Drosophila melanogaster: one gene and its partners. The protein of the gene in region 3 binds, or shares a complex with, the protein of the main gene of each other region. Each region holds a gene or a part of one and is shown on either strand. Other genes may lie near its edges. The genes, in order: MED18, MED20 and MED19.

Region 1 (3,635 bases), on a different chromosome or scaffold from region 3:
ATTGCTGATCACCTCCACCTCGTCTTTGCTCAAGTCGAGATAGGTAAGGTCGCCTCTCTTTTGCTTGTTCTCCTTGTCCTTATCACTGTCGCTATCACTACCGCTTTCGCTAAAAGTGGCATCTGCATCCTCGTCGTCGGAGGCGTCTGTCCCGCTGTCGGAATCTATGAGCTTGCGCCAGCGATCCTCGTCTATATGATTGGTGCGTGGGCGTGTCAACGGCTTTTGAGTCCGCGGACGTCTCTCCGTTTGGACAGCGCGCATCGGAGGCAGACGAGTCGAGTTTAAAGGAGTCTGATTTGTGCGCAGAGGTTTAGTAACTGGGGATTAAAGCGCGTGTGACTCAACGGTTGGAGGATAAAAAGCATGGATAAATTCTTACATATGCTGAAGTCCCCGAGAACACTTTCATCTGGCTTGGGCTTCTTTTTTTTAGCGGTGGTTACCGCTGTTGCTTGAATATTCCTGGGCCTCAGAGGAGCCTGTTTACCGCCACTACCACTGGAGCGCTTTAGAGTGCGGATCACATCTGGTGTCTGCCAAGACTTGCCGTACAATTGATTGAGCAGCTTTTCTGCGTGGGTGAGAAACTGCTCATCCTCGGATGCATCATCCACAGACAGCATGGATTTTTGGTGGCTCTGAGGGTCCTGCTGCTGGTGCTCTTGGTGCTGCACCTCCTCCGAGCTGGGCAGGGACTTAGTGGCCCTGGGCGAAGAGTAATGCTCATCGTCGTCTTCCGCCGAACTTGACTCCATAGTGGGAATGCTGATTTTAATGTTGATCTTCGCTGAAATATTAATACTGCTGACCTGGATAGAACCGTGTTCGTCCCCTCCCGATGTGGAGGAACCAGAGCTGGCCTTTTGCGGCGTGAGCTCGCCCTCGCTGCTGGTTTCCGGTATTTCAATGGATTCATCAGGAACGGGCTCATTGTTGTGAATCGTCGAGTTATGGGTCTCAGAACTATCAGAACACAGGGTGTTGGGCTCGGTGTCATTGTCTGCTAAACGCTTGCTGCTGTATGTGGGCTCAAGCTCCTCCGATCCGAGAGTATTCGCCTCCGTTTCGTCGTCTGCCAACCGCTTGCTGCTATCCAATCGAGTGGCATCTGCTGAGCAGATGGTATTCACCTGCGTATCGTTGTTCGCCAGTTGTGTGCTGTTGTAAATCGGCCTGGTAGTGGGTGGCTGCCAGTCCTCGTCGGTGGGCGACATGGATTCGGTGTCCGCATCGGCTAGACGGGATTGCCGCTGGCTGGAAGAGAGGGGGGGCGGTGTCAATGGGCCATTCCACTCCATCTCGCGTCGCTCTATGGACACATCGCGCAGAAAAGCCTCGATGCGCTGCACTTTTTCGGTTGTGAGCATGGGCTGTGGTATGTCTTCCTGGCCGGGATTAGCCACAATTTCCCGTTCACTCACAGCCATGCTATCGGGAGGCAAGGGTTCTTGCTCATCCTCGCTAGAATCGGATATGGTGATACAGGAGGCGGCGTCGTCGTCGCCGGATACGTTCTCTTCCGTAGTGGAGGAAATGCAAATGGAGATCTCCGGCTTGGCCGAGTGCTCCTCATTTATGGGCTGCACTTTCAAATTGCTGATGCCAGCGGACAGGAGCTCTACATCGCCCACATTTGCCACATCCTGGCTGCAGCCGTCGGCGCTCAGCTGCAAGGCTTCCATGTAGTCGGAATTGTCGAGTTCTGTGTCCTCCGTATTTGCCCCGCAGGACGGAGCGGGTGCTCCCACATTGGCGCGCATGGGAGCTGCTGGCAGTTTCCTTGTTTTCTGGTCGTTCCTCTTTTCTGGATGATCCTTCGGCGCATGGGACACCTGGAGTCGTTTTTTGTGGGAGGATAGCGTCAAATTGGCGAACTTTTGATTGAAGGGAACTTTTACTTTGCTCGGGTCGACCGCATTGAAGAGCCTATACTTATGATCCGCCATTTTGGGGGCGTCGTTGGGGCATTTACGGTAAATCAATCTCTATGAATATGCTTTAAGCAAAATTCGTATTTGCTATTATTCTGTGCGCGTCGATTTACGTTCATCGTTATCGATAGACTATTTGATTTTCCGGCATCTAGCTAGTGCTGTTCGAAAATGTCTAAAACGGCATCACTAGTAAAACGAATTCTTCCAAGGAAATGAAACTAAAAACAAAACCAAACTACTGCTCAGTTAATTTAATACCATAGTACACCCAAACTTACAAAATTAGCCAATGGCGATTGTGTCGTCGGCCCGTGAGTCGCTCTCCCATGCGATGAACAACCGCTTCTTGCCCAACCTGGAGTACTTGCTGCAGGGATCTATCCTGGATTCCGCCGTGGAACACTTGATGCACAGGTGGGAGACCCAGTGTCAGATTTGAATCGTTTGCACCCGACTAACAGTCTAACCGCCTACCCACTATCAGACTAAAGGGACTCTGCGACAATGTGGACACCTCGCCGGAGCCGTTTCACGATCTGGAAGTGTGTATGAGCCTTCGCCAGCCCAATGCCAACCAGCCGCTGCTTCTTCGCGTGCGCCGAGCCCTTGGTCGCGATGCACCCTTTCAGATGCGCTACCTAGGAAACCCCGAGGTGGATCTGCGCCGGCCTACATTGGTACGCAGCTGCATGGACTGCGCCTGCACCAATGGCATTTTGGAATTCCTCACGGAAATGGGCTTCCGCCTGGAGTTCGAGTACATAGCAAAGGGTTGGAATCATGAAATATATTACGCTTGGGTTGCCAAAATGGATAGTGACAAATGGACTTATTTCAGGCTATATGTTCCGCAAGGGGCGCATGAAGATTACCGTCTCCAAGCTCATTAAGATTGTGCCCGGCAAGCAGCAGGACATGGCCAACGAGCCAATCTCACAAAGCTACATAGTGGAACTCTCTGTGGTGGCGCCAACGGGGCAGGAGAATGTCGGCGAGGAAATGCGCGTGTTTGCCGAGCAACTAAAGCCACTCGTGCAGCTCGAGAAGATCGACTACAAGCGACTGGGCGGCATGCCGTAGTTTACAATAAAAGTGCACATCGCATTTATCCAACAGTTATTTAATTTCTTAAATGTAAGAAAATATACAAATTTACAGAAAAGAACCGAGAGGGAATGATTACACTGCCAGAGTAAAAAATATCTCAAATTCAACCTTACACACCCACATGACACGACAACAACGGACTTTCCCAAAGCAGTGATAAAGAAGCTGCGGGGCGGTTAATCCTTAAAGGCCTCATTAAGAGCCGCCAGATTGCGATCGCTCACATAACTCTGGAGATCGCTGCGGCCCATCAGCGAAATGACCATCTTCAGCGTACTCCAAATAGACTCGGACATCTGGTTCTGTCCTCTAAAGGTAGCCGCCATCGCCGCATTGGGCAGCTCTCGGGCGGCGTTAGTGTGAGCCTGCATGGTAAGCGCTGTGAGTAAGTGCTCCACAGCTTCCTTGTAGGCCTTAAGGTTCATGCAACATACGCCCACGTTGTAACGCACACGGATGAAGCCCGGTTGGAGCTGCAGCGCCTGCTGATAAGCCTCCACCGCCTCCACGGAGCGCGAGCCGTTGGCCAAACTGGCCCCCAATCGGTTCCATGTCTTCGCATTTTGGGGATCCACCTGCAGAGCGGACTGG
Region 2 (3,227 bases), on a different chromosome or scaffold from region 3:
TTTATGCAAATAATGAATCTGCATAGTTTGTAAGTTTTATACGTATATACGCCTTCATATGAACCACAATTAGTTTATAAATTCCCAACACAAATCTCACATAGCCATGTACATGAAGCTACTAAGCGAGAAACAAGGAAATTTTTGTACACAACTTAAGAATGTCGCTCCTTTCCGTACCATAAGAATCGAATCGAATCTCTATGAAGTGTCTTGTGTTTTCTTTTGTAATAAACGAAACCTGAAAATAAATAAAAGTAATGTTTATCCAAATGTGTTTTCTTTTCATGGAATGTGTTGGTACACTTCAGAATTTGTGGATTTGAATATTTTTCCCAAATTCCAGGAATGGGTACAAAAATGTATAAAAATTCAAATTACTTACAAATTTATTATTAATTCAAAGAATAGAATGAAATGGATTACAAGACATTAATATATAAAAATTTATTTAAAATAACAACAGTTTTTTTTAAATAAAAATTAATTTGCTTAGTAAGGCCAAAATAAAATCTTACAATTTCTATGAATTTACCCATGGAAATTATTAATTAAGTTGTTTCATTTCACATTTTATACTAAAAAAGTTAAGGTAAATATATTAAAAATATTGTAGTTATGGAATATAACTAAGCTAAACAAAAACATTTGGATGTGTAGAAACAACTACGTCTTGCGAAAACTTAGTAAAATAGGTGATATCGCCTCCAGGCAGTCCATAATGTCCTTGCGCGACTTGGCGCCCGTAAATACAACCTTTCCGTTGACGAAGATCAGGAGAACGATGCGCGGCTTGACCATGCGATAGATTAGGCCTGGAAACATCTCCGGTTCGTAGGAACTAAACTGCCCGTGCACGTGGTTGAGGTTCTCCAGGCGGATGGGGAAGCGCAGATCAACGGTGGCCACAATATTCTGCAGCTTGTATTCCATGAACTTTACGGGGAATCCCAGCTTCTGCAGGATGCGTGCGAACTTTCGCGATCCAATGTCCGCCTCAATCTCGTTTCGTGCACCCGTGCAGATGACCTTGCCCGTTCGAAAGATTAGCGCTGTGCACCTGGGCGAGTGCATTCGCATGATGACGCCACGAAAGCGCTTGGGCGAGTACTCCGAGTTCCTCGTACGCGAGTTGATTGCCTTGAGGTCCAGTTCACAGTTCACCGAGAAGGTGGCCACGATATTCCTGCAAGTTATGGATGTATCAATGGGTTTCTATTTATTTCATGAAGTGCCTCTGAAAAGTGGTCAACCAACTGCAATCGTATCTCATGTTGTGCATCCTTGGGCTCCACCAGGGCAACGGGCTGTTGCGGCTGCAGGGCTGCGTGCGGATTGGCGGCAGCATTGCTGGTCGCAGCCACATTATCCCTGTCCCTTTCAGCGTCCGCGACTTTAAAGTGAAACTGCATTGCCGAAAATTATAAACAAATCCGCACGCGACGTGGCCAGTGTTGTCCTATTTTATTGCTGACGAAAATTGTATGCCGGTTTGGTATTTTTATTTGTCTAACTTTTCTCATGACTAAAAAGTCAGCACTGGTCACACTGGACGCTTTTAGCTTGCAAGACTTGTAAACAAAATTAATAAAACTAAAAAGCTGACATTATTGCATAAACTATGGGAGTAACTATCCTTCAACCGTATCCCTTACCCGAAGGCAAATCGGGTGCCCACATAATCGATCAGCTGAGCAAGCGTCTGCTCGCCCTGGGCGCCACACATGCCGGTCAATTTCTGGTGGACTGCGAAACGTTCATCTCGACGCCACAGCCGCACAATGGAGCACCTGGACGCGCAGTCCACGTCCTGCACAACTCCGAGTATCCCGCCTCCACGTTCTCGATCATCGACAATGGCACCGGCAAACAAGTGGCCATTGTCGCCGACAATATCTTCGATCTGCTCATGCTCAAGATGACCAACACCTTCACCTCCAAAAAGCAGACCAAAATCGAGTCCCGTGGCGCTCGTTTCGAGTATGGTGACTTTGTTATCAAACTCGGTTCCGTCACCATGATGGAGCACTTCAAGGGCATCCTCATCGAAATCGAGTACAAGTCATGCGTGATTCTGGCCTACTGCTGGGAAATGATACGCGAAATGCTGCAGGGATTCCTCGGCATTGCTGTGAATAAGGACTTTCCCTCCTATTTCGCTCCACAGACAATAATGACGGCAATGGGGCAACAGCAGCTGCATGCCAAGCACAACGACATCTTTGAGCCAATGGACACCGTGAAACAATACCTGGAGCAGTTCACCAACTATAGGAAGCATGTGACTCTTATGGGCGGTATGGGCAGTGGACCGGGTAGCCAACAGGTTGGTCCGAACGTGCATATGTCGCCGGCGGTGGCGGGACTACATCGATCCTGATCCGCCGACGTCAAGCTGGAGCCACCGGATGAGCCTGCAGCCGATTAAGATGTTTAGAAGATAATTTAAACAAAAAAAATATACATATGTCACTAATATTTAATAATTAAATAATCATTATTTTAAAGCTAGCATCACTAGTTTGCTTTACATATTTTAGACGAATAAACAAAACATTTATTAGCTTGTCCAAATACGTTTAAAATATTATAGTTATATATATATATATATATATATTTTGTGCAGTGTACAGTTTTTTTCATATATTGGTTATTCACTACTTTTTTATGTATTTTTAAAACAGCTGATTGGAATAATGATTAAAGCTGTGTGGTATCCCTGCTCGCACGGCATTTTACCGTTAATGAAATCTGGCCACACAGTAGGCCGAGTACTCAGTACTATCGGGCAAATTGACGAGATTATTTAAACAATAATGTCGGCCCACAGCGGCGGAACGGATTGGAATTCCGTTGTTAAAGCCCTGATACTTAACCGTACAGGAGCCTTAAACAAGAACGAAGTTGTTAATTTGCTCAAAGCTATCACGCGATGGTAAGTACAAACGATCATCTAGAACTTTTCGCCTACCGAATGGCGTAGTGAAAAATTTTCTGCTAGTGCAAAAAGTGACTTGCAAAATTAAATATGGCCGCTCCGGTGACGAAATAGCAAAAAGCTTTGAAAATTCTTTAATATCGAGAACTAACAACGCTCTATTCCGATATTTGCATAGCGAACATGACTTTTTCGAGGAGGAAAGCAATTTCACGCAGTTTTACACGGCCTTTGCGGCCCTGGCGGCGGACAAACTTATGCAAATCAAGACAAGTAAGTGCACCCTAAT
Region 3 (3,756 bases):
TCGCCGATGGCGTAAATATTGGGCACCACAGTTTGGAAAGTGGCGTTGACGGGGATCCTGCCGCGGTCATCCTTAACAATGCCCACGGCCTCCAGACCCAAACCTTCGGTGTAGGGACGACGTCCAACACTGACCAGCAGGGCGTCGCACTGGATCTCCTCTTTCTCGCCAGACTTGGCGTTCTCCACGGACACGGTGACGTTGTCGCCGCTGCGAGAGGCAGCCGTCACCTTGGTGCCCAGCTTGAACTTAAGACCCTGCTTGGTGAGCACCTTTTGGAACGTCTTGGAGACTTCGTTATCGATGCCCACGCCGCCGATCGTATCCATGAACTCAATGGCAGTGACCTCAGCGCCCAGACGCGACCATACCGAACCCAGCTCCAGGCCAATGACACCGGCGCCGATGACAACCAGATGCTTGGGCACCTTGGCCAGCTTCAGGGCGCCAGTGCTGCTCACAATAACTTCCTCGTCGATCTGTGAAGGTTTTTGAATGGCATGCATTAGTAATCAAGCGCGCTGTAGAGGTTTTGCACTTACTTCAATGCCAGGGAAGGGGGTAACCTCCGAGCCGGTGGCGATGAGGATGTTCTTGGTCTTGACAGTCTCCGTGGAGCCGTCGGATTTCTTAACCTCCACCTCGTTGGGATTGACGATGGTGCCGAAGCCCGTCAGCTGTGTGACCTTGTTCTTCTTGAAAAGCATGGCAATGCCACCGGTCAAAGCCTTCACGGCGTTGGACTTTTGACCCATAAGCTTCTCCAGATCCAGGCTAACGCTGCCGCAGCTAATACCACGTTTCTCCAGATCACCGGAGTGGGCCATGTGGTAGTAGTGGGAGTTGTTCAGCAGCGCCTTTGAGGGAATGCAGCCAACATTCAGGCAGGTGCCGCCCAGAGTTGCCTCCTTCTCCACGCTGACCGTCTTCATGCCCATCTGGGCGGCCTTGATGGCGGCGACATAGCCACCGGGTCCGGAGCCAATCACCACGATGTCCGCCTCGTGGGTGCTGGAGTAGCAGCGGGCGTTGAGGGCACCCAGAATGGCGGCATTGGTGCGCAGAGGAGTCTGTAAAGACGGCAGATTACTACATGTTGTGGCACCTTATCATTTATCACGCCAGTCGCACGCATTTCGCACTAATCTTCGGCCGACTATCAGCTGATAATTGGCCTAATTAGCGACCTTGAAAACGGGGCCAAACAAATCCCCAAACGCCAGTGAATCACCCACCGGGATCATATGAGCACTGCAGGTGATCCAAGTGCATTTTCCAGCCTTTTCCTGCCCATTTCTCGACCCCCTCGGTGAGGTTAGATTGCATAACTTGAGGGGCGATGGCGTTTGGGGAATCGGTTATGTCGCCCGATCCTTACCTTGGCTACTGCCGAAACAACATGACGGAGCGTGAATTGCATGGCTGGTGCGGGCGAGTTATGAGGATAATCGTTATTTAACTACAAACACAACACTAGTTTGATGTGTGTTTTTCCGACTGTTTTTCGTGTTGTGGGGCTCGGAGCGGTCGCAGGGCTGGCGATGTGCATTCGATAGTGGTCATATGATGGCCGCGATGCTATCGATTGTTTTGGTGATTTTCCACTCTGTTGGAATTTGAAATTCTAAAACATTTTCGTATGAAAAAGATGTGTATAAAAATATTAGCTTGATGATCGTTCAAAATACGATATGTCCGTCACTCAATTGCTAGTTTATACAATATTCACTTTATGGGTCATTTGTTGTAGCAAAAGCTACCTAAAAACAAGCCAACTATACGTGTAAGCCGGCTTTTATAGTTTTGGCACCCATTAATTAATGTTTTTGTACGTATAAAATAAACTGTAATAAATAAACTGTAAAATAACTGTTTTAAAAATATATAACTCAACGTACATACGATACATATATAATAAGAGTTCCAAAGTAATATTAACTTTATTATATCTATAGGTAATTAAAAATGTATTATACGATGAATATTCGATAGTTTGCCCTACAGTACAACCCTGTGTGGTATTCCCCATCTGGGATATTTCCCACAACACTTTTGGTATTTTCACGTCGCGTTCATCTCGCGTTTTCGTTGAAGCCTCAGTATTTCGCTAGCTGTCGCAATGCGGTCACACTGGTTCGCGGACACAACAAGATGGCGAGACTTGCCCCCGAAATCTGTTAGAAAACGCCACAAGAGCAAATAATTAGTTCAGTTTTCGACCAGAAAAGAGTCAGCCGAAGTGCCGGGCAGACGCGGCGCATTTTGCAGAGTGTGAGCTTGGCCAGCGTTGCCCGAGAGCCGCGACAGGCGACACCTTCTGCTGGCCTTGCCTTGTTGCTGTGCCCCTGTGTGCGTGAGCGTGTGCGGTGCGGTGCGATTGTGTGCGTGGGTTGCCAAGAGTGAAGAGAATCGCTGAGTTTCCAAGATGATGAGCAACTACGGCAACATGATGGACTCACCGAAGTCATCGCCCCACGGCGGCGGCCGATCACCCGTGGTGGCCCGTCAAGACTCATCCGGCACCCTGAAAACGACCATTTCGCTGGGCAAGACGCCAACGATCATTCACACGGGGCCATTTTACTCCATGAAGGAACCACCCGCCAAGGCAGAACTTACCGGCGACAAGGATCTCATGACCGAGTACGGACTGCACCACACACTCACCAAGTTCAAGGAGAAGAAGTTCAAGGAGTCGCTGGCCTCGTTTCTGCAGAACATCCCCGGCATTAACGACCTCATCACGCATCCCGTGGAGAATAGCACGCTGCGGAGCGTGATCGAAAAGCCGCCCATTGGTGGAAAGGAGCTTCTTCCGCTGACTCCCGTGCAGCTGGCCGGATTCCGCTTGCATCCCGGACCGGTTGGTTTTTCCAATATGCTTTTAATTCGCTTGCTCAGTTTGAAAAATGACGAATCTTTAGATACGGCACATTGAACATCTTAGAATACATTTAGACGCTATTCAATGCTTTGCGTCTCTATACATTTGCATGCATTAATTTCGCTTTTTAAAATTTGCATATGAAATTTGGATTTAAGTGTCCTTGCACAGACTGATCTACTATAAAGTGTTATTTGGTCGCACCTTTTCTGTCACTTATTTCTATAATCACCGTAGTATTTTAGAGTTGTAATTCATTTTCCTTATGTTCAACAACAAATTTGAAACACAAATATTTTAGTCATTAATCACAAAAATTACTTAAATTAACAAGAGTGTAAATGTTGGTTTTCCCTTTAAACCTCTTTTGAACAGTGTATATTAAGTCAGTAGTTCGCAACGCAGTGATCTATATGAACAGCTGAGTCGATAAGGCCATGTCCGCCTGCCCGTTTTCTTTCAGTTTTAAATTTTTGTTGCAAGTAGTGCATAAATCAGAACGCGCCAGTTTAGGCCACTAATTCATATTGCTGCCATATGGTTTAATATTATGATATTCAAAAAAAAAAAAAAAACTAACCTTCCTTGTTGACGGATTGTCCTTCCTTTCTTGTTATTGAAATATTGGCATTTAATATTATTGAGAGTTTTCTTTCACCCTATATGCAATCTAATAATAATAATAATTCATCTTAAAAGGTTTCGTGAAATATTTTTTACATGTCATATATTTCAAACAATGGATAAATCGTTACTAGAACAAATTGCATAAAATATATTATTTTTTTCCTCTGCACTTTCACATTGCTAATTTATCCGATTCTGGTGCTCCTTTCAGCTGCCGGAACAGTATCGTACCACATATGTCACAC

The links.
Region 1: MED19 (region 3) and MED18 share a complex: the UniProt entries of both Drosophila melanogaster proteins name them as parts of the mediator complex.
Region 2: MED19 (region 3) and MED20 share a complex: the UniProt entries of both Drosophila melanogaster proteins name them as parts of the mediator complex.

Annotation. Positions count from the first base shown.
Region 1 is NC_004354.4:1,863,788-1,867,422, forward strand, and holds MED18 (mediator complex subunit 18), read left to right. Parts: upstream 1-2,121; 5' UTR 2,122-2,226; coding exon 2,227-2,351; intron 2,352-2,398; coding exon of another isoform or gene 2,399-2,421; coding exon 2,422-2,708; intron 2,709-2,775; coding exon 2,776-3,017; 3' UTR 3,018-3,100; downstream 3,101-3,635. Other genes in the region: Gcna (germ cell nuclear acidic peptidase), read right to left, coding at 1-320, 383-1,949; Pex5 (peroxin 5), read right to left, coding at 3,221-3,635. UniProt on the Drosophila melanogaster protein: Component of the Mediator complex, a coactivator involved in the regulated transcription of nearly all RNA polymerase II-dependent genes.
Region 2 is NT_033779.5:8,071,156-8,074,382, reverse strand, and holds MED20 (mediator complex subunit 20), read left to right. Parts: upstream 1-1,534; 5' UTR 1,535-1,621; coding exon 1,622-2,380; coding exon of another isoform or gene 2,381-2,428; 3' UTR 2,429-2,571; downstream 2,572-3,227. Other genes in the region: Trf (TBP-related factor), read right to left, coding at 667-1,186, 1,258-1,412; poe (purity of essence), read left to right, coding at 2,817-2,935, 3,117-3,211. UniProt on the Drosophila melanogaster protein: Component of the Mediator complex, a coactivator involved in the regulated transcription of nearly all RNA polymerase II-dependent genes.
Region 3 is NT_037436.4:17,844,861-17,848,616, reverse strand, and holds the start of MED19 (mediator complex subunit 19), read left to right. Parts: upstream 1-2,115; 5' UTR 2,116-2,425; coding exon 2,426-2,863; intron 2,864-3,722; coding exon 3,723-3,756. Other genes in the region: CG7430 (uncharacterized protein), read right to left, coding at 1-479, 543-1,070, 1,379-1,420. UniProt on the Drosophila melanogaster protein: Component of the Mediator complex, a coactivator involved in the regulated transcription of nearly all RNA polymerase II-dependent genes.